Drosophila melanogaster: one gene and its partners. The protein of the gene in region 2 interacts with the protein of the main gene of each other region in a pairwise test. Each region holds a gene or a part of one and is shown on either strand. Other genes may lie near its edges.

Evidence for each region.
Region 1: the proteins of Cpsf5 (region 2) and Rab3-GAP interact in a two-hybrid assay, tested with the Drosophila melanogaster proteins (one large-scale study listed by BioGRID).
Region 3: the proteins of Cpsf5 (region 2) and Dlip1 interact in a two-hybrid assay, tested with the Drosophila melanogaster proteins (one large-scale study listed by BioGRID).
Region 4: the proteins of Cpsf5 (region 2) and TwdlM interact in a two-hybrid assay, tested with the Drosophila melanogaster proteins (one large-scale study listed by BioGRID).

Annotation. Positions count from the first base shown.
Region 1 is NT_033779.5:12,056,206-12,066,990, forward strand, and holds Rab3-GAP (Rab3 GTPase activating protein), read right to left. Parts: upstream 6,980-10,785; 5' UTR 6,952-6,979; coding exon 6,876-6,951; intron 6,821-6,875; coding exon 6,511-6,820; intron 6,458-6,510; coding exon 4,664-6,457; intron 4,599-4,663; coding exon 4,382-4,598; intron 4,321-4,381; coding exon 4,193-4,320; intron 4,134-4,192; coding exon 3,008-4,133; intron 2,823-3,007; coding exon 2,625-2,822; intron 2,562-2,624; coding exon 2,385-2,561; 3' UTR 2,099-2,384; downstream 1-2,098. Other genes in the region: RpL7-like (ribosomal protein L7-like), read left to right, coding at 217-227, 294-942, 1,010-1,123; CG34164 (uncharacterized protein), read left to right, coding at 1,688-2,008; firl (firelighter), read right to left, coding at 7,402-7,665, 7,724-8,084, 8,145-8,299, 8,361-8,514, 9,065-9,087.
Region 2 is NT_037436.4:9,406,008-9,414,335, reverse strand, and holds Cpsf5 (cleavage and polyadenylation specific factor 5), read right to left. Parts: upstream 3,299-8,328; 5' UTR 3,061-3,298; coding exon 2,915-3,060; intron 2,858-2,914; coding exon 2,593-2,857; intron 2,520-2,592; coding exon 2,354-2,519; intron 2,182-2,353; coding exon of another isoform or gene 2,147-2,181; exon of another isoform or gene 1,134-2,146; coding exon 1,019-1,133; intron 946-1,018; coding exon 924-945; 3' UTR 501-923; downstream 1-500. Other genes in the region: Atat (alpha-tubulin acetylase), read left to right, coding at 1-90; CG4022 (uncharacterized protein), read left to right, coding at 4,370-4,816, 4,904-5,073, 5,145-6,123; Cpr67B (cuticular protein 67B), read right to left, coding at 8,297-8,328.
Region 3 is NC_004354.4:9,153,883-9,160,386, reverse strand, and holds Dlip1 (dorsal interacting protein 1), read right to left. Parts: upstream 1,766-6,504; 5' UTR 1,711-1,765; coding exon 1,311-1,710; intron 1,251-1,310; coding exon 1,120-1,250; 3' UTR 1,012-1,119; downstream 1-1,011. Other genes in the region: NdufA3 (NADH:ubiquinone oxidoreductase subunit A3), read left to right, coding at 548-781; Ost48 (oligosaccharyltransferase 48kD subunit), read left to right, coding at 1,956-2,097, 2,172-3,379; His3.3B (histone H3.3B), read left to right, coding at 5,726-6,007, 6,147-6,275.
Region 4 is NT_033777.3:26,615,349-26,622,079, reverse strand, and holds TwdlM (TweedleM), read right to left. Parts: upstream 2,963-6,731; 5' UTR 2,914-2,962; coding exon 2,899-2,913; intron 2,822-2,898; coding exon 1,970-2,821; 3' UTR 1,856-1,969; downstream 1-1,855. Other genes in the region: TwdlP (TweedleP), read left to right, coding at 756-1,418.

The DNA of each region.
Region 1 (10,785 bases), on a different chromosome or scaffold from region 2:
CATAGTTTTCAGTTGAATAATACAATTTCTTAAATGTTCCCGCCAAAAATTTCAAATTTGTTAGCTATTCACCACGAAACGCGCTCAGCTGTTGCACACATCACTTATCGATAGCAAAGCACTTATCGCTCCGCGCCCACCTCTATCCTTTTTAGTTATTGTTTTGGTGCTTGCACGTGTTTTAATTTACTTCGATTAAAAAGCCAAATACCAGCAATGTCAGACAAGTGAGTGATTGAAAAACTATAAAAATGTGTTGACCCTAAACATTATCTTATACTTTTGATCCCTAGATATGCGGTGCCCAACAAATTGCCCGGCAAAACAGTGTCGGTGCTAAAGCATCGCAAGAGGAGAATTCTGCAGGATGAATCTGTTGTTACGCAGAAAAGAAATGACCGCATCAAAAAGAGAACCGCCACCAAGAATCACCACAAATTCCGCCGTGCCGAATCCTTCGTAATGGGCTACCTGAAAGCAGAGCGCACGTCCAAGCGGATCAAGCAAACCATTCTGCGCACCAATGTCACCGAACAAAGTGCCAAAGCTGCCGACGATTCCAATCCCAAACTGCTCTTCGTGATGCGCCATGCGGGCAAGAAGATCTTCGACAAGACCACCGCGGATATATTCCGAACCCTGCGCATGGGCTCGCGCCACAACGCCGTCTTCATGGAGAACACCAAGGAGAACCAGTTGCTGCTGCGCGTTATCGAACCCTTTGTAGTCTACGGCAATCCCTCGCTGAGCTCCATTCGCGAGCTGGTCTTCAAGAAGGGCTTCGCCCGCATCGACGGCAAGAAGACGGCCATCCAGTCGAACACCATGGTGGAGCAACAGCTGGGCGACAAGGGTGTCATCTGTCTGGAGGATATAATCCACGAAATTTGCACAGTGGGTCCAAACTTCGCCGCTGTAAATGAGTTTCTGTGCGCCTTCACGGTTGGTTAACAACTTCTCTTTTGCAATTCTTAAAACTATACTATTACCGCCATTTGGTTTTTTCCAGTTGTCCAGTCCCAGCAATGGTTGGCAAAAGAAGGTATCCGTCTCGTACAAACGCGGTGGCGAGTACGGCGATCGTGGCACTGCCATCAACGAACTGATTGCCCGCTGCCTGTAGAGACCCTAGCCTAGTAAACCCTTAAGTGATTGTTCAACCTCTATAACCCATTCTGTAGCTAAGCCCAATACACATCTATATACAAACGTATTCTATTTGAGCGTACTTATTTAACGAAGAAAATAGATGGTCAGGTCAGCACTATCGTGAGTTTACTGTATGCCTATAAAAGCAATCCTGCGACTATTAAGGAACCACATGAAACTGTCTCTAACGACATTCCTCATTATTCTACATGTTTATCAACATGATAAACTTCACCCACGAAACAAGTTCTTTGCTTCTTGGCCTTGCGTGTCCCAGCCGAGTTCCCAAATTGAACAAACCAGAGAATCAACTTTCTGCCTCGAATAATAAATAAGTCATAACCGAGGTGGCTCCTCGCAAACGAAAGGTATGCCAAACTGAACTACTTGTTGCCATGAAGGAGGAACTGTTGTTTTTCGATTAGTCGGAGTCAGTGCCACTAACCTAGTGCAACTCGGGTCGTCGTATCTTTTGTTCGGATAAAACTCCAGGGACTACACATTGGAATTCAAAATCCTTAGATTCAATTAATTCTCAATGAATTCAAGTTTCAACAGCGAGCAGTTGGACACCGACCGCGATGGACTGCAAAAAATTCTGGCCCGATCTCTCAAGGAACCCATTCTTGGCAAGCACTTTGCCCTGCCTGGCCGCATAGAGCAGAGTCCACCCATCGAACTGGACACCAGCCAGAGCTACATTGCCGTCTACACTCATCTCAAAGTGCACGCCACCATGATGCCGGAGAGATTGCCCACGCCGGAGGCAATCGGACGAATACAGGCGGAGAACTTGGAGGCAGCGCCCAAGGCACGAAGTTCAAAGACCCGCTTGGATCCCTGCTCAAATATAAATTAAATTACGTTGGGCATCAATAAAGAAAGTATTGTTATTTTATCTTTTGGTATCCCTTAAATTTAGTAAAAGAATATTAAAATTTTTTTTTTTATTTTATTAAATATACATGTTCATAATCCTTGTAGGCATAAGCTTCACATCAAATTCGTGTTGAATACATCCTCCTATCGGTGCAGATCTTAGTATCCTTTTTCTTGAAAGTAATTAATATGATGCTTTTCGTAGGTTGTTTAAATCGCTACTAGGTTGATAAGTATAAGACAATTAATGGGACCGCATGTGGTGCTTTAACAATCAATATTGGGTTCATTCTTGAATCCATAAAAATCATGAGAGAAATGTAAAATAACCAAGTGTTTATGTGTCATCCTCACTCCTAATTCTGCAGGATACGCACGGCGTTGTACATCTGGCCAATGATGGGCAGCTGCTTGGACTCGCGCCGGCAAAGGTATTTGTAGGCATGCGACAACAGCCTGTCCAGGGCAGCCACATCGATCTCGTCGGGCTTGGTGGCCGCGATCTGAATGTTGTTCTCCGTCATCGGTTCCTTCTGCGTAAGCGGCGTGAGAAATGGATCAGTACTGCGAATGATATATGCGCTTGCAGCACTTACCAGGTTGTCTAGGTAGGCCAGCAACTGGTGGCCAACAGAGGCAATCTTCAGGAACGTGGACTGCGAGCTCTGTGCGTAAAGATTAAGTCTACGGCCAGCGATCTCCAGCAGCAGTCGGCCCAGCTCCTCGTCATCGCTGATGTCCTGGAGCAACACTTGAGCCTCCGCATCATACCCAAAAGCGTACAGTTCCACCACCTGGAGGAGGGAAAAATATTTGGAATATATTTTCTATTCCATTGTGTTTCCTCTGTTGTGCTCTCTACGGAGCAAACTAACGAACTGATGTTGAAAGGCAAAAGGGATTGTAAGCTCCCTGTCATGTGTGTTCATGGGTTCCTAGATTAGGAATTCTGGGATCATATATGTATGTACATTCTTACCTGCCGTCGTAGGATAGGAAGTTTATCGACCTCCCAACTGTCGGCTAAGGCACAGATCTTGCCCATGTAGAAAACATGATCGAGAATGTACAGCTGCTCCAAATCCTCTCTAATCAGATCCATGGTAGCGGTGACAAGGCGACACAGGAACTCAGTGCGCTGCTGTTGCAGGACAAGATCTGGTGCAGGCAAAACATAAGGCAGTTCCTTATTGATGTCCGCCAGCAGAGCTTTGTTGCTCATGGAGTCAAAAAGCGTGGTCAGTGGTTTTGGAATGCGCAGCTGGAAAAAGGAAACGAAGTGCAGCACGCTGCACAGTTCTGTTTGAAGACGGAGCAGCTGCGGCATGGCATGGTGCTGCTGGAGAGCCAGAAACTGCAATGGCAGGGCTCCTTCGCTGAGCGACTGCTCGAAGTGCAGTTCACGCTTATCGTGCTCCATGGAAGCGGTGAAATGCTGCAGGAATTCGAGGCTGAGTTCTAGAAACTCTGGCACTTTACCCGCAGACATCTCGAGATCTTGCTGGCACATCTTGTCCACTGGCAGGCGTCCCACTTTTTGAATAAGCTTCGCCGCCGCCTGTAGAGGAAACTTCAGGGTGGCATTCCACAGCATGCAACATATTCCATGCTTCAGGGCCCAGTCAGGTGTACGGAATTGGTTTAAACAAAGTAATGCTGCCTTTAGGTGGTCCAGCGATGAGAGCTGCTTGCTCCACTGGACCATGTACTGCCACGACATGAGACTTAAGAGGACGCCCGATTCCAAGCTGAAGGGAAAATGCGCACGCAGCAGAGCCAATCTTTCAAGAATAGGTTCATGGGCTTCTTTACTCGCCGCGTACACTTCCTTTGCCATTTCCAAATCCTCTTCTGATTCCGCGTCTTCATCGACTGACTCCTTGGTAGGCTCATCCTTTATCTTAACTTTGCTCTCGTCGTCTAACTCGTTTTCGGGAGGCGATATCTCCAAAACTTTACTCGGATGCAATTGTGCACTGATCAGCCACTTGGCTGTCAGTTCGGTGACGATGCCTTTGCCACTGCTCACAATGCTTTTGAGACTGCAGTCCGGTGGCTCGTAGGACATCTCTGGACCAACAGGATCCCGGCAGATGAGAGGCTTACTGCGAAGGAAGCAGTGGTTCATAAAGGAGCTAAGTGGAACGATTGATTTGGCACTTACCTTAGTATGGCTCCTAGCACGGCCACATCCTCTAGCTTGCCAGTGAGCAATCCCCACTGAGCCTCATCGTGGGAGATACGCTCCCAGCGCTCATCATCTTCGTTCTGCGAGGATTCATCACAAGATCCCTAAGGAAAAAGTGTTTTTCGCAAAAGAGTTTTTGATTTTAATGACTAGGAGTAGACCTACCTCTTTTCTGTTTCGCCACAAATTAGTCGCTACCGTTTTGCATACAATGGCCACCAGCAAGCCCGAAAATTGTTTACTCTCCAAGAGAAGTTCCCGAACTTCCTGCCACCACGGTGAAATGGCATTGTAGGCATAGTCATGGATGTGTTCACCAGCCAGATCACAAATGGTCTGCACCATAGCAGCAATTCTGGACATGTCCTCCACTACTTCATCACTAAAGTAAGAAAAGTAGATTGCACATAAATTGAGAACGGAATTTATAAAATATGTTTTTCTCACCAGTTGTTGTACTTAAAGGGCTTCTCAAGCCAAAACCAAATAATCAATTTAAGCAAATCTCTGCTGGGCAAACACGCCTGATTGATCCACTGCTTGAATTGGCCAAAGCATAGACCTTGGGCAAAGAACTGACTAAAGAGATCGATGCTTACGGCGCCAAACTTATCTGACTTCTCCGGAAGTAGACTTATCCCATCCGGACTATCGATGTTAAAGATGCTCAGGTAATCGACAAATTCTTCGGTCTTGTGCTCCGCCTGCAACTTGAAGCTCACTTCACGAGTGGCGGCGGGTTTATCCTTCTCGGTGCCATCGTCCAGGAGCAGAACCAACTTGTTAATGGTGACAAGATCAGCATCGGAAAGCTCCAAGTATTCTACGGGTGGCTCGTTGTCTTCACGCTGATTGGCTTGACTTAGGGCCAAGTAGAGATCAGTCAAGCGTTTATAGTTCTCGATTTGGTTGACAAACTCCTCGGAGCCCGTTGATTCAGAAAGAGGTTTCTTTATGAAGGCATTAATGATGGATTGAAACACCTGTGGCTGCAGCTTCTTGCTCTTAAGCAACATCTCCAGACACTGTTGTCGCACCTCTAACGTCTGCAGTTCACTTGCCAGTTCGCCAATCTCCTGCAGCGCTTCATCTTTGGCTTGGCCATGGTTTATGGTTCTGAGCTGGTTTCTGAGGCGCCTCAGCATATGGATATCCCGTGATGTCTGGGAGCTGGTCTCGCTGAGCGCGTAGTGAAAAGGAATGTGTATCTCCTTCAGGCTGCCATCGCTGGGGTCCAGGAACAAGCAATGATTGATGGCTAAAGATTTTCTTGACTGACTACTGCTATTACCAGATCCACTGCTGCCGCCTGAGCCTAGGGGACTATGATTGTTGTACATAAGTTGCCCGCTCTTCGAAACATTGAATGCAGCCACCTTGGGTCCGTTTTGCAAAGCCCATATGTCCAGGCAGCCCATTCGAGGAGCGTAGATCACCAGGAACAAAGCCTTTCGCTTGTGCGTTTTGATACCGCGAACGGATTTTTCTTTAACTGGCACGAATGCGCACTGTGCATCTCGATAGCCCTTCCAAACACGCAAGATAATAGCCTGGTGCGTATCCACCAACATTACACGGTCGAGATTATCGGTAACGACAGCCAGGCGTCCACCAGGTGCCACAGACAAGGTCAGTCCATCTCTCTTGCCGTCATATAGACGACAGCGAATCCGCATCGGTGCTTCTTTCGTGGGCACCGGCAGTGGTGATTCCTCGGGCGATGGCAGGGGCTCTGGAGCGCGTCGAAAGATTCCGCCCAGCAGGTTCTTGTAAGCTATTCCGATTACGTCTTTGGCAACCTCACCCAGCGACATCGTTTTATAACCCTCCTCCGCCTGAAAGAAGCCCAAATAGGGTTCTGCTCCGGCGGCCAGAACCTGTGAGCTCCTCGGCGGCGTGGCGTGCACCTTGGCGAAATAACCGAGACCGATGGTCTGCTGAACAATGTAGTCGTATGTGGGAGGTCGCTGGGTGGTAGAGATGGCAGCATCATTAATGACGGCCTCTCGTTCTTGCTTGAACTTATACTTCTGGAATGGCACCACATCAGCAGTGGGATACGAACTACGCTCCAATGCACCTCTTTGCACATTGTGCCGGCAATTGTTCAGCGTGGGCAAAATGTCCTGGCCCTGGATGAAGCACAGGCAGCGAGGATAGATGATGTAGAGCAGTGAATCTGCCTCAGAATGTCGCGGAGCGGACTGCAGCTTGACTCCAATTACTGGATCCTCTTGGCAACTTGAAAAATATAGATGGTTAATGCCGTAGATACATTTAATTCCACAACTAACCATTGCGAGAAGAGTTTTACACCCGAGTCCGTGTAGAAGGTAACCATGCCAGAGCACAGGCCAACTGCCACGCAGGTCCATTCGATGGCTCCATCGGTGCTTTTGTTCTGAGTCATCGGCAAGCAGGTGAGGCTAGTCACGATTTGGTTGGGATCCTCCAGCTCGCCGCACCAGCCAAGAACGTAGGTGTTGCCATTGCCATGGCTGCTCCAGCAGGTGCTGAGGAATGCCAACTTTTCACCCTGCGCCATGGCAATCAGTTCCCCAGTTGGTGAAATGGCATGGTTTATCGCGTTTAACCAGTTGTCATCTGCACGGATCGGTTTAGCTATGAATACTTGCTGCAGAGACTTGTCTTATCTTACCATGTCCGAGTCCAAAGTATTCTTGGACTTTCTTAAAATCACGGATTTCTCCGCAGTGTTTTACTTCGCAAGCCATCGCCTTTTGTTTTCATCACACAGCTGATTTGCAGTGGAGTTGACAGTGCAGGTAAATTTAGCTATAGCCAGATGTATCGATTATCGATTATGTATCGATTTCAATGCAACAGGTAACTCCAATAATAACGAACTAATGAAATTCATTAAAGTAATTTTCTTTGTTGTACGTAATTTTAAAACATTATAAACTGAGAGGATGTTATTCATCTAATCTGCCCAAACTAATAAATACTTGGCTTATATGCATAGATGTTAAATTATAAGTTAGAATACAAAATAAATCAAATAATTTTTTGATAATGATCAAAATGGTAAACTGTGCACTTACTTTGTACCAAGCTGAAAATCTCTATAGCTTTATTTTAATGCATACTCCAATAGTAAGTTTATTGTACTGCAACATATTGTAGTTCGATCTAAGATCTAATATATGAATATAGAAGGTAAACTAAATCAAATCCGACTCCACACCGCTGTCGATAAAGTCCTTAAGCATCAGGCCGCAATGATCGGGCAGGAGTCGCGTCCAGTTGTTGATGTAGAGGAGGCAGCTCGGGATGGTTACCTCCATGAGGTCGGTGCGATGAGCCTCCACGATCCTTTTGGCCACCTGCTTGGGATCGAGCAGGCCCAGGATCGATGGGAACTTCACCTTGGGATGCTTGCAGAGGCCAGTGTTGGTCATATAGGGAAAGATGGTGGTGGTTCGAATCTGTAAATGGATTCACACATGGATCACATAATCTAGCACATTCACATGGTTATTCTACCAGATCCCTGAAAGGTCCCTGTCGTAATTCGGCATGCAGTGCCTCCATCAGACCGCGTACAGCGAATTTGGTGGCACAATAGGGCACCAGGTTGGAGATGCCCACCAAGCCGGCAATGGAGGACATGCAAATGATGTGGCCACGACACTTCTCCTGCATGTGCGGCAAGAAGGCCTGGATGGTCCAGAACTGCGAGAACACGTTCACGTCGAAGACCCGCTGGATTTCCTCGGCCGATTGCTGCAGAATGGGATGCGTTGGCATTATGCCCACATTATTAACCAGCACCGATATGCATCCAACATCCGACTTGATCCGATCCGCCAGTGCCGTAACCTCATCGCGCTTGGAAACATCGCAGCTGCCAATGTTGAACATAATGTTATTATTTATTTAAACATTTAGTAAGTATACTTAATACCTGTAGCTGTAAACCTCGCCGAGATTGAGCCGTTTGGCCTTCTCCACCGTCTGCAGATTATTTTTGCCATCGATATCCACACAAACCACTGTGCTACCCAATGAAGCATAGTGTAGGGCCAACTCCCGACCAATTCCATGCCCAGTTCCGGTTATCTGCGCAAATACAAGTTGGTATTAACTTATTATGTTATTTTTGCACATGTAATGCTCTTACCAAAACTATCTCCCCGCTGACATCCTTCTGCTTTTTGGGCAGCACAATCTGCACCAGCGACACAAACAGCTCCAACAGAATTCGCACATAGAGCTCGAAAAATTGCAGGACATCCTTGAGGACGTCGAAGATGCGCTTCGAGGCAGGTGTTGTGCTGCAATATAGAACATACATATATAGTGCACCGATCGTAGCGAAATTCGCAACAGCTAGAAGCGTTTGCTGGCCACTCCGAGTTGGCAAATATTGAAACAAAGTCGAGTCTCGACAAACCCCCAAATGATTTAATTTATCTATTTGTATGCGCCCGCTGCATGTGCAATGTTCAAGCGCTCGGCTCGGACTTTGCCAAGACCCCATAATATAGTACAACATAAGATATTGGAGAATGCTGGTGGGGCTCAAGGCGCCTCGAAATATTGACACTGGGTCTTGGCCCCCTTTTTCGGGTACTCCCGTTGTTGGCCAAGGGAATCATAGTCAAGGCTGCCTGGGTTGGAAAAAGCATTTACATATATTGATAGATTTAACCAGAGCTACTAAACAAATGAAATAGTAAATATTATAAATTATAACATATTTAGAGCTGTAAATAAATATTAATTTCAACATATCAACTATATTGCTTAAACTGCACCAACTGATTGTGACATTTCATCCGTGCCATATGTGTGGACAAACCACCGATAAGGATTAACACTTACTGGATAATTTCCCGTTCTATCATGGTGAGGGTTTCTTATCGGGTATATGGGTTGGGTTCCCTGGCTTCCCAAATCCGGTGCCCTTTGACAGCTCAATCGGGCAGAACCAAGTGCGGTGCAATGGCTATAATGAAAGATAATGGTCTTGAGTCACGGATCGTTTGACTGACTGACTGGACTGGACTGAGTTTGGACGGTCTCTTCCGCATTTGCGGATTTCCTTTTCACAATTTTTGGCTTTTGAGTTTGGCGAGGAGGAGTTGTTGTTGTTGGTTTTTTTTATTTAAGTTTCTTCCTCGGATTTACAACCGGCTGGCCAAGAGCGAGCGGCGTGGGCGAGCGAGGAGGTGCTGGAGCCACCGGCGACAGTGCAACATTTCCACTTTCGTTTTCGATTTGCCTGCCACTAAATGGAAAATTACGTGCACTCCAATGTGGCACACAGAAAAGAGACAAACCCATACGAAAAAAAAACGGGATGCAGGAGCGTAGGAAAGGGGGTCTATATTGATAATTAAATATATTAAGATTTAAGCAAATATTTTTAACATTTTTCTTCATTCAAGTATTTAAAGAAATTTTACTAGATTTATATAGAATTTATATAGAATCTCAAAATTGCTTAGAAATAAACTCAACACTTCTATTGATCTATAAATGAACATTATATAAATTAAAGTCGCCCCATTTGAAATTTCTCCGTACTCCACTGTCCCGATGACAGGGGCTCAAAAAAGTGCAAGTGACTCTTTTTTCTCTTTTGGCCGTTCTCTTCGCTTTGGCCAGTTGCACATTCAGGCTCTTTTATTTTCTTGGCAAGAGGCAGACACATGGCCTGCTGCAATGGGGAAGCCAGATGTTTGTTGCAACAATCGTAAGCCATAACCATAAAATGCAACGAGGGTGGTAACAAGAGTTTTCCCTGCGTTTCACGTTGTCTAATCACAAGTTACGTAAGCTTTTCTCTATTACGCGATAATTAATTTATGGCATTCATTTTGGTTATAATACAGTCTTTTAAATTCATTTTTGCAAAGGTGTGTAATAATGATTAGTTTAATCGTAATTATTTACTTTTACCAGCGTTTTTGTGGCTCAAGAATGATAATTACAAATGCTGATAGTTATGACATTAAAAATTTGTAGCTCTTAATGAATCTGCGACTAGCTAACCAATCATTGTTTCCAGTGAATAGGTGTGTGCATTTAGTTAATGGTTGATATAATTGATTTGGCTTAATATCCTGTAATAAAAAACTAGTTTTCAGTTTTGGGGAGTTTTAATCTATTGGCAAGCCACTCAAATCACTTTCACAAATCACACACTATACACTATATTTAAATGTTTTCAACTCGAATACAACAATGCGATTTTAAATGAATAATATGCTTTATTTACACAATATGATTACTCCCAATGGATCGTTATCTTTGCTTTTGGATAAATTTCGAAACCAAAGACGAGACTGCAACGACCGATAAGTCTGGCTGCTCGGCGCCAAATGATTCGAGTTTCGAGCCTTCCACAGCAATGAAGCCTATGCAGCAAAGTCGGGAATATTGGAAGCTCCAAGAGAGGCTTAAGAGAGCGGACCGACTGGAAGAGCGCTGGAACGCGATCCTTGAAGTCACAGCCATTTAAGACTAAAAAATTATGTTTACTTTGTTTCCCTTTCCATTACAGAAATAAGAAAAAACAACTTGAGCGACCTTCATTGCGG
Region 2 (8,328 bases):
GATGCCATGTCCACCGTGTCCTCCGGCGGCGGCGGCCTCACCGATCAGGGCTACTACGATCTAAAGTTCTATCACAATAAGTTGTGGTGAAGTCGAAGTCACAAACCAGAAGGCACGCAATATTTGCTAACATCTTTTGTACGTGTGGCATAAGCATAATTAAACAAAAATCTAATCTAGTCTGTAAGATTGTATTGTCTAATCAAAATAACACACCAAACGGTTCCTGTACTTCAGTTCGATGATTTCGTTGTGAGCTTCTTCTCCGACTTTTGTTGATTTGTTCATTTGTTACAAGCCACGCACACCGAAGAGCATCCGTAAACTAAACTAGAGCCTCACAATTAAACGTTAACAATAGCAAATTGAAATATACGTAGATTAATTGCCGCCGGTACTGAGCTAGATAATTTTACAACACATACTCGTCTTTGGTTGAAAAGATCCTTTATTAATAATTTCGCTTTGTACTGTGAATTTGCAATAGCCCTTAATGTTATCCAGCCCGTGTGTATCTTCCAATTACAGAAAACGAGAATATTTCGAACAAATCTATGCCGAGTACATGCTATAGGGATAGCGCCAGTTGGCCAGAATGCATCTTCATAACCATACTTAAAATTTCTTAAACATTGTCTAACATTTAGTTGATAGAACAAAACCCCCAAAATGCAAATAGATATTAAAGATGAAGATATACAAATAAAGCACAAAATTTTGTCGACTCTATTTGCCAAGTGAAAGAGACTGGCTTTCCATTTTATCTGCAATACAATTATGTACGTTTACACACACACATGAAATGGAAATCTACGGGCTGATCTGTGGTGCTGAAATCAGTTAGGTAGCGCTATCGTTGGTGCTGCTGCTGCTGCTGTTGATGCTTAACTATTGCTGGACGTGGGCCCCTCCTCCGTCTGCCCTTACATGTAGATAAAGTTGAATCTGCAGTGAGGAAGCGTATGTATATGTAAGTGGGGCGGCAATCTATAAACTTCGATATGCGTTACGAACTTACCTGCAGAGGGCCTGCGGCAGAGATGAGATAATGGGTCCATATCCTTGCGAGTTGTCGTATAGCTCGAATAATGGCGCAGCAACAAGCTTATAATTTTTGGGTACAGCAAATAGTGCTAGATTACGGAAAACGATAGAGACAGAATTCATGTATGTAGAGATATCAACGAACATTGAAATTCACAGGATATATCATCTAGGGATATTACAATCGGTTGTACAATTTACATATTAAGAATCATTTCGCAGCCGTATGATATAAAGAGTCGTATGCGTTTCGTTTTACATTCATAGTTGGTTACGTTAGACTAATTAATTGGATTCGCTGCGACTTGCAAAGCATGACCGGCACTTTGCTGGCCCAGCGATGTCTCCTAATATCAGTTATGAACATAATTTCAATTTAGAGCAACATTATACATGATAAGTGCGGTTCGAATTGTGCGCTGAAATGCTTCAGCTGGTGGACAACATCAGTTCATTTCAGCGCACAGCGAATGCGTAAGGGCCAAAAAAGGTATAAACAGTATTTGCTTGTGTTTACATAAACGAGTGCTTAATTTAAGGAGCGACTTGCGACCTGACTGCCCAGCATGCGTGCAAATCTGCAAAACACGCGAGATTTGGGCACATGACTGCGACAGCCAGCAACGTTACAATGCTCTTCTGCTGCCTGCCCGATGGATTGGATTGCTTTCGATAAATACACAACAACCTTAAGATGAACGACACATGACACTTCACAAAAGTAAGAATAGAAGCTAGGAAATAAATAAAATATGTAAATAGAAGGATAACATTGCTGCGCTCAGTCTCACAAGTATGTCGACATATTTACAAAATTAAGTACAAGAACAATCTTTGAATTTCGAATGATAAAAATCGGGAAATAACAAAATATGCCAACACTCAGTCCTGAGCAAAAATACAATTTGAATTTGATTTTCGACATGTTGTACAATTGGACTAGAATCAAAACTAACTAAGGAGTCGCCTGCGCCAGCTTTTGCGATCTGTTTGTTTCTTTTCTGTTTGATCTGTTCTGTTTGCTCGATTTGTTGTTCTATGGCATTGCACTCTTGAGATTAGAGTTGGGTAGATACGACACACACGGCGCTAATGGAACTGCTCAGGGTACATCGTAACTGGCGTTCCCGTCCGTATCTAAACAGCATTGAAAAGATATGACATGAGGTTTGTTAGCGTATTCGGTTTTTGGCAAACAAAAACAATCTATAGGTTATATAAAGTACATGGAGAGATGGATATTCTGGATACACGGTGTGCTCGTTATACCTACGCGTAGGGACTTACAAAACGCCCTGCGGATATTTACCCTTTTCATGTAGCTGGACGAGGAAAAGCCGCTTGTGCTCCTTGGGCTTGGTGATGTGCGGCGGAATGTATGGATATTGCGGTGGCTCAAAGTTCGGCCGCCACCAGTTCCCAATCGTGTCCTCAACAATCCACTCCTGCTTTACGCCGTCCTGACGACCCAGCGTCTACGAAATAATAAAAGTAGTGATAGTTAAGATCAAATAACAATATTTAACTATGGCGCCACGTTTGACTTACCTCGGATAGCAATCTCTTGAGGCCCTCGACCTCATCCTCGCCGGCGTTTAGCTCGCCACCGGGCAATTTGAAGAACGTGGTGCCCAGCTGCAGGAGCAAGACATGTGGCAGTCCGTGCTCGTGGACCAGAAGCACTCCCTCGACGGAGCGCCGCATTCCGATCCGGTCGAATTCCTCGCGCATCCGCTGGAATCGGGATGGCACCGACGGATCCTTCTCAAAGAGCGGCTCCTTGGTGCCGAATGTGTAGTTCGTAAGGGGGTATCTGAAACAATCGATCGATCTATGATGTGCGTCTATGAATGAAATGTGTTGTACCCACAAGTTGATGGTGCGATTGATGGTTAGCGCCTGGTTGGTGTACTTCTGGGTACCGTTGTTATTGCTGCTGGCTGCATCCGCTTGGCCTTGGCTTCCGCGGCGCGGCCAACCGGAGCCCGATTTGTTTGAGACTTGCGAGGACGCCATTTTGTTATACACACACCCCTGTGGGAAAATTTGCGGGACAAGCTGGCCGACTTTCTACCAAATCCTTTGGTTGTGCGTTGGAAACTTGTATTCCAATAATATTATAATCCTTAACTGTTTATTTACAAGTTATACTATAAATGTAAACCCGTTTTAAGCCGCTTAATTACACTTTTCTGTCCAGCGCTTGTGCAAAAAAATTAACCGGCTGGACGAGGGCTGCACGTGAATTGATTGATGATGAGCAGAACTGGTTCGTTGAACTAGATTATGGAATTAATCGATTTCGTACTTTGTGTGAAATAAACTTGTAATGACCTTTTGCTTAATATTTATTAAAGATTTATTCAATTTTTTGTTTTATTTTTAAATGCAGTTTTAAATTATTGTTTGTTTACATATGTAACGACAGCCCTGGTGTTTCTTGTCTAATGGCAACGCTCTGAAATTGCGCAGCAACCCCATCTGGCCACACTGACCCATTAGTTTTTTGTTTATGTTGGGTTGTCGGAAAAATCGGCTGTTTTCCGTGTGTCCGTCTGCCATGAAAAGCTGCTAAAAAGCTAAATATAAAAATCAGCGCAGCACACACGTTCCGCTGCCTGCATTGTTTGCCCATTCTAATGGGAAATTATGTGAGTGCGAGTCAGGAAAACGCATCGTGTGTGTATATATACATATATACATAAGTATGTAACTGCGCCCGTTTGTTTGTGTGTGTTTTTGTGTGCATGGTGCAATGGAAAAGTGATTATTATAAATGAAAATCAGTGAAATGTGTAAGTGTGGCACCGCAAACGCTTTGAACTTTTCCATTTTCATGTTTTCACCTTGTCTTCTCTTCTCTTCTTCACCCACCTCCCCCGTAGTCAACCAACTCCCACTTGTGCGTGTGTAGGAAGGCAGAAGGGTGTTTTGCATTCGTGTGCGTGCCAGATAAAAAGACTTTGAATTTCTGGAGGATATTAGTGTCAACTGTGTGGGGTATAATACGCCGTAGGCCCTAATATGCAGGCAAGTCCATTAATTACGCCAAAGGTCACAGGTTAGGCACGCAGCCAGGATCCAAGGAGCAATAATAATGTTGTATGAAGGCGACCTGTAAGCGAGAGCGAGAGAGCTGGTGTTTTGGTGTGAGTGCGTGGTAGAACAAAGAGGACGAAAAACACGGCTAACGAATTCGCCGCACGACACACTCGCCGCATGGCGAATTCAAACGTATCCCAGTGAACGAATGAGAAACAAAAGGATATCTTATTGAAACTGATTAAACTAAAGACTGCCGAATAGTTATATAAAATCCAAAACCATGTCTGCGGCCGAACTCGAGGCGGAGGCTTCAGCCCAGGAGCAACAATCCCAGCAACAACAACAAAATCAATCACAAAGCGAGGAGATAAATACAAACACTGCCATCAATGCAAATGCAACCACAACAAATAGCTACAACAATAATTTAGATACGGAAACCCAGCTTCAGATGCACCAGGATCCGCAGCAGCAGCAGGAACTCGAGGGCAATAGCAACAATGGCATCACAGGACTCGGCCTCAGTCTGATGAACTCCTCACCGCCGCCGCACAGCTACCGACATTCGCGGGCCTATCGCCACTTCAAGAATCCGCCACAGCCCCACATGTGCATCCGCACCACCACGGAGGCGGGCGAGGAGCTCTTCATCAATGTCCTCAGCTGGACGCGCATTGTGATACCGCAGGAGCCCAGCGATCCCATTCCCCTTTACGGAGGCATGCGGGTAAGATTCCTTAGATTAAGTGTCCTCAAACATTCACGTCGGTGTTTCCTTTATTAGTTATTTATGTTAATGTTCTTATTCATTAAGGTACCGCCTGGCAGCCCACGCAGTCCTCCCATTGTCTTTGCCGTAATGGCCAATCCGGAGGTGCTCAAAGACTCCGGACGTCACAGCAAAGATCCTGAGGAGCGACGAGCTATGGTGGAGCTGATGTGCGACTTTGTGGAGGCTATGAATCCAGGCGTGAAATTAGTCAGGTATATAATAACACTATTAGTTTACTGCCCGATTAAAAACAAGAATAAAAATATATGTAATACATCTCCAGAAACGCCGTAATACTCAAGGATCGCGATATCTCCGGCGAGCTGAAGGATGTCTGGAATGCCGTTCAGGCGCAGCGCGATCGCGAGAGGGAGGAGCAGATGATGCAGCAGCGCCAGCAGCAGCACTACCAGAACATCACCACGCAACAGATGTTTCCCAAATCGCCGGATGCATCGCGGGCAGCTAGTGCTGGTGCTGCAGTGAACGAGGCCAGCTCGCCGCCGGCTCACTTGTCTGAGCCGCTGCTGGTAGAGCAGGGAAATGGCAATGGCAATGGCATCACCCTGGCCGTGTTTGCCCAGCAGCTGGACAACAAAGTGGCCAGCGAGCAGGGTGAGCAGCAGGAGCAATCGCCAGTTTCGGAGGATGCTTGCGTGGATCAAACGGATGCAGGCAGCTCGCTGAATGGATCAACAACTGTGCTGGACAATCAGCCGGTGGCAGTGGAGAACGAACCAGAAGTAAAGGTTGCACCACCGGCAGCCACAAATGGTGCTAGCACTCCCACACCCAGCCACGCAACACCCACAGTAACAGCCACAGCCACATCATCGCCCAGTCCAACTCCAACTCCCGTTGTTGCTCCCGTCGTTACAGCAACTCCTCCACCTGCTGCTCCCGCAAAGAAGGAGAAACTGGGCGGCTTCCTGCCCAACGGCTGCATCTTCCCGCGCTTCAAGAACAACAAGCACAAGGACAAGGACAATAGTCACAAGGAGGGCAAGAGCAAAGAGAAGACCCTGCTGAATGCGCTGAAAAAGAGCAAAGAGAAGAAGGTGGCGCCCAGTGAACAGCCGACAGAAAAAGCCGCCGCCTCGGACAACGGAACAACGCAGTACGAGAAGAACTGCATCAACAATCTGGAGTGCGAGGTGCAGAAGCTGGACTTGAACAGCGGCACCAATGGCGACAATAGCATGTTCATCAAGCTGAAAGTTTCGCCGGCCAATGCCACAGCAGCGGCAGCGGCGGCCAAGTAGAGATAATCCTGAATTTACACACAAAAAAAAAATAAATAAAATCTCGTAGGTAAGTGGGAAGTTAGGACGATAGAGAGCCAGAGGAGGCGGCACTCTACCAGTGAACAGTGTCACTGTGTCAGCACTTAGGGCTTAGAGTCGTGGATAGAGTCGTGTAGCATATACAAGATTTATATATACAGATATATATACAAGCATTCACACACCCGTTTTTACACCGTTGGTCAATTTTTTGGATAGCCACTCAGAACCAGGACTAGATGAACTAACAGTTGTGCCATGCTCCAGCTCATAGACATTTATAGACGACAGCGCTTCTCCCAGGATCTTCCCCGGCATTTAACTGACAGAATGATAAACGTATTTACATAGTTCAATATATGTATGATTCGCATACAGTTTGCCTTATATACAACAAGCCCGAGAGAGCGACAAGAACCTAGCAAGAACCAGTTGATAAACACGAGAATAAATGTATTTAAAAACATAATCGTCGAATGAAACTCATGCGCCAAATGAACTTACCAGACTAACTACTAGCTCCATTCCCAAATTGTCACATCATCTCATCGTGAACCATACACCCACCAGGCATTTGCCCATCGATTCATCCATCCATCCATCCATCCATCCATCCATCCATCCATATCCATATCCATATCCGTGCAAAAGTATTAAGAAACTTCGCAGATCCAAGAACCCTAACCCTGGATCGATTGATCTCCACGCTTTGAAGTTGAGGGGCAGTGAAAACAGCGGAGGGAGTTTTAAAGCCGGCTCTTTAGTGCCACGACTAACTTATGTACCTTAGTATAGCCGAATGCGAAAACAGTATACAGATCCGCAATGTCGCTATTATGATTTATATTTTAAAGTTTAACTTTTAGTTTCCCCTTTTGGATACCGAAACGGGGAAACTACATTTCATTCTATTTATTTTCCGTTCGTGCTTGTTGTGTTGTAATTGTGTAATACTACTGTTGGAATTTTTAACTTTTACTGTGTTTATTGTTTGTGCTAACCCAATTCCAATCCCAATCCCTCAACTTCAAACGAAACCATTCACGAATCATATATTATAGAGAGTAAAAAACCACTAGAAATCGAATAAATATTCGGGAAACACCAGTGAAAAATGGTAAAACAAATAGTTTCAACTGCAATATCGGACTGAACAAAGCTGCCATATGAAAAGTATATACATGTAATGACTTTGTATATAAAGTTAGCTACAGATTTCCATAAAAGAAAAAAACGAAATTTCAATTGTGATTCCATCGAAAATCTAATTTTGTTTCCACATCGAAGAATTTAATTGAAGAACTCGAAAACACACACACAACGTATACCGAATAAAATATAATTTTGTTTGCTGGAAAAAACCGCATGTAAGCGGAGAATCCTAACAAAAAGAACTTTTCTTTTTGTTTTTAGTTCATTATATTTTTTTATATAGGTGCCATACAGGAAGCGTGTATGTGAATTAATCAAAATTGATTTCATCCAATTGGTATTAAGATTAAGCCCAGAGTTTCCTTAATTGTGAGTTGAAACGAGTACCGAAAACCCTAAAGTATATATACTAGTTTTTAACTGGTTGTAAATGAGAAATGCTCGTGTAAAATTAGTATTAAATTATAGCACGAACCCAACAACAACAACAACAACAAAAAAGCAACAAACATAACACTACAATTACAAATTAAATTAGTTTAAGACCCAAGTCTTCTAAGCGAAGAGCAAAAAGCAATAATTTTACTTGAAAAGAGAGTGACACGACAAGAAAATTATAATGATAAAAATGCGTGTGTGGCTAGTAACAGCAAAAGGGTGGAAATCTGGAAAACTCACGAACTCAGAGAGATGCAATAATGTTTCCTTGGAAATATCTAGAGTTTTCCGGAGCAGCCCGGAAAAATGTCTACAACAAACAAAAAGCACACACTAGCGGATGAAAAGCCAACAAAACAGAAAAACACACATTTTTATATGTATATGTATGTAATAATAAAAGATCGTATTTGACAAAAGTGTATTTAAAGTTTGCTATTTATTTTGCGAAGGATTTCAATAAATATGTGAAAATGTCTTAGCTACTTTCTACAGAACGACCTATACAAGGCGATGCGATGGATCCACCAAATCCATAAGGATCTAGATCAATATCTGAATCTTACTCATCCTTGTTGTTGATGGCACGCAGGC
Region 3 (6,504 bases), on a different chromosome or scaffold from region 2:
TTCGTTGAAAAGTAAAAAAAGACAGATGGATAGGGTCAGATCGGCTCGGCTATTGATCCTGATCAAGAATATATATACTTAGGATGGTCGGAAACTCTTCCTATTGCCTGTTCTTTTACTTCTAAACGAATCTAGTCTACACTTTTACTCGACAAGTCACGAATATAAAAATCGTACTCTCAATGGCGAAAATTTTTATTTAGCAAAATACTTTTTTTTAAAGAATCCTAAGCAGCAAATAAACAAAATTCGAACAAATTTCCACATAACGTTGAAAATATTACATCTAGTTGCAGTTCTAGAATAAATCATTTGTCACGAAGATAATTCAAAAAGCTTTTTTATTTCAATATTCAGTCTATCGAAATTTCGTTGCCTGCATCTGTGCGGCGATAGCGAGTATCGATAGCCAGCAGGCCAGCTCTAATCAGCTGTTTGGTTTGTTCGTTGTGTAACTTAACTGAACGCGTTGAATTTTTGGTAAATGCTTTATAATTTTATTTGCTGCGCCCAGTGAACTAATAGCCCCATCCCGCAGTGTACCAAGATGTCCGCATCCGCTGCCCGAGGCTCCACATCGCTGCTGAAGCGCGCCTGGAACGAGATTCCGGACATCGTCGGCGGATCCGCTTTGGCCCTCGCCGGAATCGTTATGGCCACCATCGGAGTGGCCAACTACTATGCCAAGGACGGCGATAACCGACGCTACAAGCTCGGCTACGTTGTCTACCGCCACGACGATCCGCGCGCCCTGAAGGTGCGCAACGACGAGGATGACTAGAGGAGTTGGACCCTTCGGAAAAATCCTGTCGGCTTTCATCTTTGATTTTTTTTTGTTTACTCTAAAGCTAAGTAAAACAAACATCCAAATGTACAAAAGCCAGTGTTCAGTGGTTCAACTATAGCGGGTAGTAGTTTTCCAGGTTTTTTTTGTGTTTCATACTTACACAAATGCACTCTATATCCCTACAATTGCAACGTTTTGGGTTTAAAAACTCAAAGAAGGCACTTGTATAAAGAGAAGGAATATATATATATATTCCTAATTTAAAATTAATTTCACAAAAGATTTATACACTTAAAACCAAATTACAAGTAAGGGAAAAAACAGACAGTTCTCTAAAGATCCTTGTGCGAGAACTTTAAGTGAAATTTGCAGGCCTTCTCCGTGTAAAAACATTCGCCGCAGAAGCCGCACTTGAAGGCCGGTCCGGAGTCGCTGCTGAACTCGTTGGTGGGAGTAGCAGCTGCTGGGGAAGATTGAGAAGTTTGAAATCTACCTAGCCTAGATAAGAAAATTGTACACCCACCTCTTTTGGTCGACACTGCTTCCGCCAGCACCGTGGGCAGTTGCTCATTCTTCGGTTCCACCGGATGAGTTTGGGTTTGCGTGTGCGACTGGGATTTGCTGGCCTGGCTGCGCCTTCGGCGCTGCTCGAACTTTAGGGCCACGTTGAACTCGCCGTGGGCGCCCAGCCACTGGTGGCTGAACTCGTAGGCCATCGACAGCTTCTTCACGCAGATGCGGCAGATCTGTTTGGGATAGTCGTCCTCTGGGTCCAGTGGCGGCAAGGAGGCGGGCAGGCAGGACGCTAGCATATCCGCAATGGGCACCATCTGGTCAAGCACTTGGGCACACTCATTGTAAATGGACAGCGATTCCAGGCATTCGTTTCCGCACGTGCGACAGAAGCTCTCGAATATGTCCATTATGGTTGTTGCTAAGGAATGTTATTCACAATCTAAAATTTGAATTAAAATGTTTTGTTTATAAATTGGCTAGTAAATGTAATCGATTATTAATCAAATCATCGATTTTTTATAATTTCTTGAATTCCTTCTGGTATATTTGTATATATTTTGGCACACCCTACCAGTATTCGGCCACACTGACAGCCAGTCATTTTTTTTTTTCAAGAAAAGCCGGAGAGAATTTTGTGTTTTAGTTGGATAAAATGATGTGGAAGGCTCTCCTGATCGCCGTTTTGGCGATTGCCCACTGCCAGGCGGTACTGGAAACGGACGCCAACACCTTGGTTCTGCTGGACAACCTGGCCATCCGGGAAACCCACTCGATCTTCTTCAAATCGCTGCAGGGTGAGTGAAAATGCCGGTTAACCTCTGACGTGGACAATGAAATGTGTTGATAATTGTTTAACTTTGGGCTACAGATCGCGGATTTAAGCTCACCTACAAACTGGCGGATGACTCCAGCCTGCTGCTGTCCAAATACGGTGAATATCTGTACAAGAACGTCATCATATTCGCACCAAGTGTCGAGGAATTCGGCGGCGATGTGAGCGTGGAGCGTTTGGCCCAGTTCGTCGACGATGGCGGCAATGTTCTGGTGGCGGGCAGCGAGAAATCCGGCGACGCGCTAAGGGAATTCGCCTCCGAGTGCGGCTTCGAGCTGGACGAGGAGAATGCGGCGGTCATTGACCATCTGCACTACGATGTTAGCGATGCTGGCGAGCACACAACCATCCTGACCTCCGCCAAGAATCTTATACAGGCCGACACCATTGTGGGCAAGGCCAACAGGCAGGCGGATGCCGCACCGCTGCTCTATCGCGGTACAGGACTGATTGCCGACAAGGAGAACCCGCTGGTACTCAAGCTGCTGACCGCCGAGAGCACCGCCTATAGCTACAATCCCGAGGCAAGTGTCTCCGACTATCCGCATGCCGTTGGCCGAGGCACGCTGCTAATCGCCGCCCTGCAGGCGAGGAACAATGCCCGCGTAGTGTTCTCCGGCTCGCTGCTCTTCTTCTCTGACGAGAGCTTCACAACGGCCGTGCAGTACGCACAGAGCGGTGTGTTCCACAAGCTGGCCGGTAATCGCGACGTGGCCGAGTCCATTAGCAAGTGGGTATTTGGAGAGACTGGCCGCTTGCGCGTGGCATCCGTGCAACATCACAAGGAGGGCGAGCTGCTGCCACCGGATCAGGCGTACACCATCACCGATCCGGTCGTCTACACCATCGGCATCGAGGAGCTGGTGCAGGGCGAGTGGCGCGCCTTTAAGGCCAGCGACATTCAACTGGAGTTCGTGCGCATCGATCCCTTCGTCCGCACCTATCTGAAGCAAACGAACACGGGCGCCTACCAGGCCAAATTCAAGATACCCGACGTCTACGGCGTTTATCAGTTCAAGGTGGACTACAATCGCGTGGGCTACACGCATCTGTACAGCACCACCCAGGTGTCGGTGCGTCCGCTGGAGCACACACAGTACGAGCGCTTTATCCCGAGCGCATTCCCCTACTACACCAGCGCCTTCTCAATGATGATCGGCGTGTTTGTCTTCTCATTCGTGTTCCTTCACTTCAAGGATGAGCCCGTGGGCAGGGCCGCCAAGGAGGACAAGAAGTCGCAGTAGTATGCACGTTCGTTCAACTCAAATGTAACACACAATGCACTAAAATAAAGTTCTCTGCAGAGAGAAACCCACAATCCATAAAAGAACTTGGCTTTTTTTTTGCTTAATGAAGCTTATATTTCATTAAAATTAGCAGAGTCCAACCCATTAAAACATATTCATTTTTAATCTTAGGTTGGAGTTAAAAAAATTTTAAAAAGTTATAAAAATGTAATTAGCAAAGAACAGAACCAAACTATTTGGCGGGCATGGTCTTGTCAGACAATCGAGTGTAATCGAATACAATCGAAGTAGGCCTTCGCCTACTAGGCTACCATCTCTAGATCTCAACGAAACGAAATCATTGTGAAAATTTCTCTCGTCCGAATTTGTTCGTCTCGTGTTGAAAGTGACAAATTGTGAAGAATAACTTTATTCCGTGTTTAACGGTGAGTTTTTTTTTATTGCTAAATACTTATAATACTAAGTGTGGTTCTTAAAACGCACGTGCTTGTGGCCGCTGAATATGTGCGTGTGTGCACTGTTTTCCAAATTTTTTTTTCGTTGTGAATCGCCTGAGTTTATGTTTTGCCGTTTTTGGGGCTCCGCCGGCCGTCCAGCGGAGCCCTATTTTTCACCGCACACACACAGGCGCATTCTCGCTGGTGGATACATACACAAATACACGAAGATGTGAGAGGTCTCGTATTCGCACGACTGTTGGTTGCATTGTTGTTTTAGTTGTAATGGTGAGGTGCGCTGCTTTTTTTTTTTTTCCAAAATGGCCGCCAAGCAGGAGAATAGCAAGAAATAAAAAAGTTGCAGTCGTTGATGAAATTGGCAAAAAGAAAATTAAAAAAATAAATAAAAACGATTTGCCAATGTGCGAAAACTGGCGCCAAAAAGTATGAGTAATCGTATTTATGCTGGTTGGCATAAACATATAAAAGTTATTTATTTATTTCTTAAGTGGCACGCGCGTTGATGTGTGTGTATACTAAACACGCACATTGGTTAACAAATGCAAATGTGCATGGCTGCGCTTGTCATGCGCAGTGTGTGCCATCTCTCTTTCCCACCGCCAGCTTTTCCCGTATGTTATTGCATAATTGCTTTTTATTTTCTTTTTCCTTTGGCATTCTCTTTTGTGAGGATGTGCAGCTGTCACATCTACACGCACACACATGCTGTTTAGCGGAGAAACGACGCAATTAACTGCTGGCACACCTTTCTTCTCTTTCTAACGCGAACGTGCCCCTATAGGCATCTCCCTTCGACTTGCCGCCTTTCAATGCGCGCCAAGTTTTTACCGCTTGATTTTCCTTCCTTTTGTTTATGTTTACTCTTTTGGCGCTACCAGTCGAAGAATTTTTTTCGTTTTCTTTGGCTTCCTTTTATTTGATATTTTCCTCTTGCCTGCACAAGTAATTATAAATTGAAAACTACAACTCATTACTTCAGCGTGATTGATTCCGCATAAAGCGCGAAAAAAACTCAAGAGGCTGTACATAAAAAGAAGGGGAACACAAAAAACGGCGACTCACGATGTTTGCCCGCGAAGAAAAGAAATGAGATTTTCAAGTGGTCCTCCATCGTGGAACAACTACACAGCGAGAAAAGCAGATGTAATATATCTATACCACCAATTGAGAATTAGATGGTATTCCTATTGCTATTTAGAACGGATAAATTAGGGTTTTTTTATGGACCACCTTTATGAATTATCAGAAATGTTTCTTAAGTTTTTTTAATTATAAGTAATGTGAAAACTTTAGAATCATCTTAGCTAAGCTTCATTTGCACACCAATATAAATATGGATCACACTATTATTTTTCTGAGTGTTTTGCTGCCGAGGCACGATTTATTCCTTTGCCACTGAAGTGGAAGTTTCTCGAGTGCCTCGTTCCCAGAAGATGGGAAAATATTTGAAATGGGGGGCAAGAAGGAAAAGCAGGCAGCTGCCTCAAAAAAATTTCACCTTCAACCCTCGTTATCGTTATGACCACGAACCAAAGTTCCTCGTCAGTTGGCCGCCAGCGCTTCGGCGCTGTGCATCGGTCCAAACTTTGGCTCCCAGCGATATCCATCCGTGTATATCCGTCAAGAGTCCACGACACAGCACAATCGTATCCTGGCCAATTGCATCGTGCACTGCGCCTGTGCTGGACGAATAGTTTAGAGTTTGTGCCCAGTTCATCGAGTTGTCTTTCTCATCTGGCGAGGATCAGCGTGTTTATTTTGGGTACCAACCAAACAATGATTGTAGAAGTGTTTATTTAATCTGTGTCAATCTGGAACGCGCAAAATCTAACATTTGCATTTCCCATTCTCTTAATTGCAGTTTAAAAAAAAAAGCTAAGAAAACATGGCTCGTACTAAGCAGACTGCCCGTAAGTCGACCGGAGGAAAGGCTCCTCGTAAGCAGCTAGCCACCAAGGCTGCCCGTAAATCGGCGCCATCCACCGGCGGAGTGAAGAAGCCCCATCGTTATCGTCCCGGAACTGTGGCTCTTCGTGAGATCCGTCGTTACCAGAAGTCGACCGAGTTGCTCATCCGCAAGCTGCCCTTCCAGCGTCTGGTTCGTGAAATCGCTCAGGATTTCAAGACCGATCTGCGTTTCCAGTCGGCTGCCATCGGTGCCTTGCAGGTGAGAATTATGCTCCAAAGAATCAGAGTGGCTTAACTTAACTAAAAATGACAGGATTCATGGGATTATGAAGGGGGGGCTACTAATATCTAAAAGGAACTTGGTTATCCAACTCATATGAATTTCTCTTGACTTACAGGAAGCATCTGAGGCGTACCTGGTGGGTCTCTTCGAGGACACCAACTTGTGCGCTATCCACGCCAAGCGCGTGACAATCATGCCTAAGGACATCCAGTTGGCGCGCCGCATCCGTGGCGAGCGTGCTTAAGGTGGATCAGCAGGAACGCCAGATTCGATCACTGTCGTCCATTCCCGAACAGTAGACCATTCACGTACCGTTGTAGGAGAGGTGCACGCCAAGGAGCTATACCAGCGACACATTGATCCAATCTATCATTCATATTTACATGTATACATTTATCATCCTTTTGTTGTTCAATCGAATCGTCAGCATGACGTTGTCGATAAGAAAAACACCACACACAAAACAACACACA
Region 4 (6,731 bases), on a different chromosome or scaffold from region 2:
AACGAGGAACTGGTTCTTTCCCGACGACAGCTCAAGGTCGCGAAGATGCCAACAACTGTTAGATGACCTGGTTTCCGAGGCCCGTCGTGTGTCACGTACAATTAGAAAGGAATCTCAAGTGCAACCCACATACGAAGGCAATGAAGATTTATGCCCAATCGAAACCTGATTAGCCATAAAAACAAAGTCTAATCATTAATTTTATTAAGCTGACGATCACTTTTTTGTTGAAATCATTAACAAATAAGCGGTTCTGTATACATATTCAAGCAAATATAACAAAACAATCCGATTGAAACAGCCAAGAGATCGGTTATTTTTCTTTTATTTGTGCATAAATTATAAGCCAATTATGGGTGAATCACGATAGTTCGGAAAACGACTGGACTCGCAATCGGATCTTAGCTCGGACTCGGACTTCGATTCGGAATCTCATCTCAGTCGGCGGCACGATTGAAGCTGTCTTTTGCCCACAACAATGTGTTAAATGTGTTAAGAGCGAAATTATGTTAGCAGATTAACAGCATTCCGAAAACCCGATGGCCAATAGCCACTGGCCATTCGCGAGTCACGATTCGTGAGCGGAGATCGATGATCGCCGTGTTCCGCCAGAGGGACCCCAAAGTGACTAGACGGCTCAATTGACTAGATTTTCTAGTCTAATTTTAAACGTCGTCGCGTTGGCGGTATAAAAGGTAGATAATGAATGCTATATTATTCATTCGTCTAGAATATCTCGTAGGCATCGGGTCAATATGCGTGCCCTCATTATTCTAAGCATTGTGGCAGCGGCAAGTGCCGGTAGCTTGTCCGGATATAATTACGGACAAGGTGCGACAACCAGTATTGGGGGCAGTGGTGTATCCCCAGTCCCTGCACTGGCGGGACCAGTTAGCTATAGTGCCGCTCCCCAGGCGTCAGTTCACAAGGAGTTCTACAGCTTCTATGCCAACGATGACGACTTCGAGGATAAGGCTGCTCTCCAGAGGGCTCTTGCCTCGGTCAAGAAGAACATTCGCGTCATCTTCATCAAGTCGCCGGAGAACCGTGGCTACGAGAATGCCGTTTTGGCCCTGGCTAAACAGGCGGCCCAGCAGCAGACTGCCATATATGTGCTGCACAAACAGACTGATATCAACGAGCTGGCCCAGAAATTCAATGCCGTGCGCCAGAATGCCAACAAGAAGCCCGAGGTGCACTTCGTCAAGTACAGGACACCTGAGGATGCTGCCAATGCCCAGCGGGCAATCCAATCGCAGTACGATCAACTCGGCGGCTCCAGCCAGTCCATCAACGGTGGCGTGGCTAATGCCATCAACTTTGCATCCCAGGGAGCTGCTCCAGCACGCGTTACTCCTCAACAGGTGCCCCAGAGCAACTACCTACCCGCCAACATCCTGAGTCGCCTGCGTCACTAGAAAATCGATTGTTAAACGTTGTTTTCGAATAAAAGTTATCTAATTTGGTTATGTAAATTATTGTATTTTCATTTGGTTAATTCCTTTAAAAATTGACGAAAGCAACATAAGTATGCAACAGTTTTCAAAATAAATTGTATACCTATTTATAGCAGCGATAATCGAATAAAAACAGAAAGAAAGAAGAAAGAAGAAATAAAAATACTTGTTCAAAACCCAAGATCTCAGCAGCCATAAACTGGTATTAAATTTTGAATATGGTTAAAGTATAAACTAGTTCCTAAGAAATATATAAGTGCTTCTACTTATGTGCGCTTTCAAAGTTTGCAAGAAAATATTTCGCTGCAAATAAATCCGAACTTGCGAAGTTTCGTTCCCAATGAACTCAGCCTGCAAAGTTTTTTGGTTTTTACAAATGCACTACAACAAGTCAAATTGGTTTTAAAATTTAAGAATTGAATTTATTTAAGCATTAGTCAACAAAAACTACGATTTAATATCAGTCAAAAATCGCTGGCGTTTTCGATTCCGAAAGGAGTGAAACGAGCGACTTAGACGCGACGGAAGACCGAAGATGGCAGGTAGGAGTTGTCGGGGCTCTGGGCGGCGGCCTGACGCACTGGAGCGGCGGAAGCGAAGTTCAGGACGGGGGCAACACCACCGTTGTGGGCCTGGCTGGATCCTCCCAGCTGGTCGTACTGACCCTGGATGGCGCGCTGGGCGTTGGCAGCGTCCTCGGGAGTGCGGTACTTGACGAAGTGCACCTCGGGCTTGTTGTTGTTGTTGCTGCGGATGGCGTTCAGCTTGTTGGCCAGATCTCCAATATCGGCCTGCTTGTTCAGGACATAGATGGCGGTCTCCTGCTGGGCAGCCTGCTTGGCGAGGGCCAGGGCGGCGTTCTCCAGGCCACGGTTCTCGGGTCCCTTGATGAAGACAACGCGCAGGGCCTTGTTCAGGGCAGAGGACACACGCTCCAGCTGCTGGGGCTCATCGAAGTCCTGCTCGTTGGCGGTGAAGGTGAAGAACTCCTTCTCCAGCTCGGCGGTTGGGGCAGGGGCGTTGTAGGAGACGGGGGCACTGAGGGCGTCACCACCACCAATGCTTCCGATGCTGCCAATGCTTCCACCACCAATGCTGCTCAGACCACCCAGACCGGCACCGCTTCCGATGCTGGCTCCAATGGAACCACCACCAATGGATCCTCCGATGCTGCCGCCTCCGATGCTGCCGCCTCCGATGCTGCCGCCTCCGATGCTGCCTCCTCCGATGCTGCCTCCTCCGATGGAGCCACCTCCAATGCTGCCACTTCCAGGAGCAAAGGACAGTCCGGAGCTGGAGTGTCCCACGGGCTGGTAGTTGTAGCCGAGCTTATCGGCGCAGGCGACTGCCACCAAGCACATAACCTGGAGATAAAGAAAACAGCATTGTAATCCTTGGTATCCTTTTGGAGTATTTCGTCGGCGATCGAACGTATACTTACAATGAAGGCACGCATTTTGAATTTAGTTCTTTGACTTTGACCACTTGGTTGTGTCTGACGTTTGCATCACCGAAAGGTCCAATATTTATACGAAAACCAACGATCGGTGTCACTAAACTGCGCTCAAGTTCATGCAGACTTTACCATCGTTGTATTTGTTGGCTCCGCAGCATTTTTTGGTAACTTCTTCGGCAGCTTTTGTCTCTTGAAATGCTATCCACCTTCGAAAAACGAAGCTTGTGCGATAAAACAATGGCCAAGCCGACGTGAACAAAGCGCATCGATACCTGGCCGCCCTATTCTTGCAAATGTTGGCGTCGACATTATGCTAATTCCACGATCCCTCAGTCCAAGTCGTAGTACCATCATCGAAAATTTTTAGGCACACGACCCTACCCGTCAAGTTGTAATCCAATAGAGCAGGCTCTCGGCGGAGGAAACGGCTGAAAACTCGTTTAGCAAAAGCCACTACTATAAATGGTCATGCTTTCAGTAAATGAAATGATTTTCTTCATATTTTGTATGCTAAAACATTTAGCGGAGCATCCAAACGAGTTCGAAAACGACTCGGTTTTTCTACACTTTTTAGTTGATCCAGCCGCATATTTCTAGCTGGGAATCCCCAGCGATTATTGCGTCCCCCTTTGGTATTTGGAATATTGTATATGGTATATGGTATGGTATGGTGTATGGTGTATGGTGTATGGAACTGGCTGCTCTAGGGTTTGGCCATATAAAACCCGAACACTGGACTGTGGACTGTGGTAGGGTTGAAAAACAATGGATCTGAAATGGATAGAAATCAATTTTCGCCAGCCTTTTTGCGCATCCATTCATTCATCCGTCCATCTATCCGACGGCCCATCTGTCCATTTGTCCGGAGCTCGTCGCTTGGCCATTTAACCTGTGGCAAAAACACGGCTTCGCAAAATAGAAGCCATAAAGCTAACAACCGTTGCGACCTTGAGGTTTTTTACTGTTGACCAGCACCCGAAGCTATTCGGAATTCGGCGGTAATCAGCTGGCGCCAGGCGACCATTTAATCTGATCAGCGATTATCACGTTTTTCATCATGGTTTATTGATATCATAAAAATTATGGTTTTTTATTTTATTTCGGCAAAGTTTTCGAGCAGAAGGGGGGTAGAGGCAGCAGCAAATCCGCTGAAAACTGATTTGATTTGCATAATTTAGGAGAAATACCCAAGATCCATATTTAAGATAGCCGAACCGATTTGCAAATCAATAGTGGCGAATGCCAATCGCGGTTATGACTAATATATATATTGATTGATATCACGGATAACTATAGCGATGAGTAACTCGAAGATGGGGTCAGTTAGGAAATCCGCTAAGACATCACAACCATGATATCATTTTCAGTGACGGACACACACAAGTTCTATATGGTTCTATATCTAATGATGCTATATGATGCCCCCCATTCCACGCTGGCCGGGATCCAATTAAGATTCACATTCGAAGCAATAACCTAAAGTCAAAAACAATTTGTCTTGGCTTTGTGTGCGGCCCCACCTTTTGCCCACTGCCAACTGTTGCGGCTCGCCGATTGGCCAGCATCTCAGCCAAGTTAGTCGCTGGTGGCAATGTCATATGCAAACTAATCAAATGTAAGCATAATAAAACAACCCAGCCACAATTTCAAGGTCTCGGGCGCCACACGCACATAAAAGATGCACGCAGCAGCGACATAAAAAGTGGTCAAAACGCGGGAAAAGAGTTTCCAGCACGAAATCGAAGATAATAGCGGTCGGACGACGTTGGCGTATCAATAAATAAATAAAAAAAAAACGGCTCAAGCGGACAAAAAACATCTACGGGAGGGAATTTCTGGCACCACTTTATGTAAATGGCCTTTTGGGTCAATCGATCTATTTACAAAATCTGACACTGTTTATTATTTTATCCATTATTTTTAGTCTTTCTCTCTTCGAGACAACAAGACTGCCCCTATATTATTTTATTGCCATTGTACTGGCACCCACCAGAATGTCGAAACGAATAAAATTGTGCATTTAATTTATTCGGCTATCACCTGGCTGGTGTCAAAACCGGGCGGTGCCTTTCAGGTGCAAAAATCCAATCAAATCTGTCGCCTCACCATAAATTGGAGCATTAGTAATTTCCTTAAATCATAAGCTTTATTTACGAACGACAAATTTGCCAGTTAAACCCCAGTTAAACGAGTTTGTTTGCTTCTAGCCTTTCTTTTGCAAAAATGTTTGGAGCTGCCGGCTTTTCGAACTCTTTTACGAGCAGACCGTTTCTATTCTTCTCTAGATACGAGTTTTAGTTGCCAAAATTATTTCCGCATGCCTGGCGACAAATAAAAAACAAAAAATGTTACCCAAAAAGCTGACTGGCTTGCCGCAAAATCGTTTCTCTTTTGCAAAAGAAATATATGCAAATATATTAAATCTGATATGCAAATAGCCGATATCAATTATTTCAAGCGCAAAAACCCGAACCAAACCATGGAAACTAAACTAAAGCTTATGCTAAAAAAACGCAATATTTTAAAAAACCTATCCGAGAGTGCTGAAAGGAATAAATCAAATCAAATTTCGCCGAGCTGGCCAATTTGTTTGGCAAATTGTGTTAGCGATATAAATATTTTGTATTGACAATCAAACGGCAACGACGACAGATGCTGATTATTATTTTGCGTGTTTATGTATTTTTTGCTTGCAACCAGCTAAATGGCCGAGATTATTTATTAAAAAGTTAGCCATACAAGAGATTTCTGTTTGTGCACATCAGCCGAAAATGGCATAAGAAATCAACAATAGGAAAAAATATAGAAAATATTAAAAAAATATGCTCTATGCTTTATTTCTACATGGATAGAGCGATAAGAGCGGCAAATAAATTTGCGGCTTTTTGCGCGATCCTTGGCACCCACAAGAAGGCAATAAATTATTTTCGAGGTCTCCTTAGTACGCATTCTGCGCAGTAAAAAACACATTTTTGTCTGCCTTATAGTGCATATTGTCGTCGACGCTTGAGCTCTCCATTTTATTTTAATTGCAGGCCTGCCTCTGCCTAATGCCAGCTTAATGTCCCAGTTTTCAGGATCCCGGACTCTTTACGAGCAACAGCACGGTCCCAGTGCAAATTGTCGTTTAATTTATTAAGCAGCGACTATGCCGGCATTTGATATGAATATGTGTGTGCAAAACACTAATTACAGATACACCACGCCCACAGCGAACCGGGCGCAGCCAACATGCATATATATAGTAATTAGAAAATAAGAACACATAGGCTTAAATATAGCGCCCGTTCACAACTCGCTGGTTGACATAAATTTGGGCCAACGCTGCGTATACGTAATGAAAGCAGTTTCACAACGGAATGAATCTTTAGTAGAATGACTAGGGAAAATCAAGTATGGAGCGAGGCCAGCCAGCTACTTTTATTCGTTAAAGTTGTCCAAACTGGTTGATCCAACTATCACCTGGCTGACCTGGGCTTTCCCAGTCCCGTCTCGAAATTTATCGGCAACTTGAACTTGAAGATGTCGCCATGCCAATTTGCATTTCTAATGAAAACGTCACCAGAACTCGACCCTCTGCGGTGGTCGAGCATAAGGCTTTGTCTTCGGGCCGAGAGGGAATTAACATATTTACATAATACCTACTTTGTAGTAGGTGCACCCCGTTGAGTGGTTGTTGTGTGAAATATGCTCAGATGAGTGGGCTAGCGCTCTTGCTTAATTGAGGCAAACAATTTCTCATTTGGGATGGGAGTGGGTTATGCCTTAATGTTTTCTTGTTACTTGCCGGAGGCCAAGTACATTTCGGCAATTGTCTA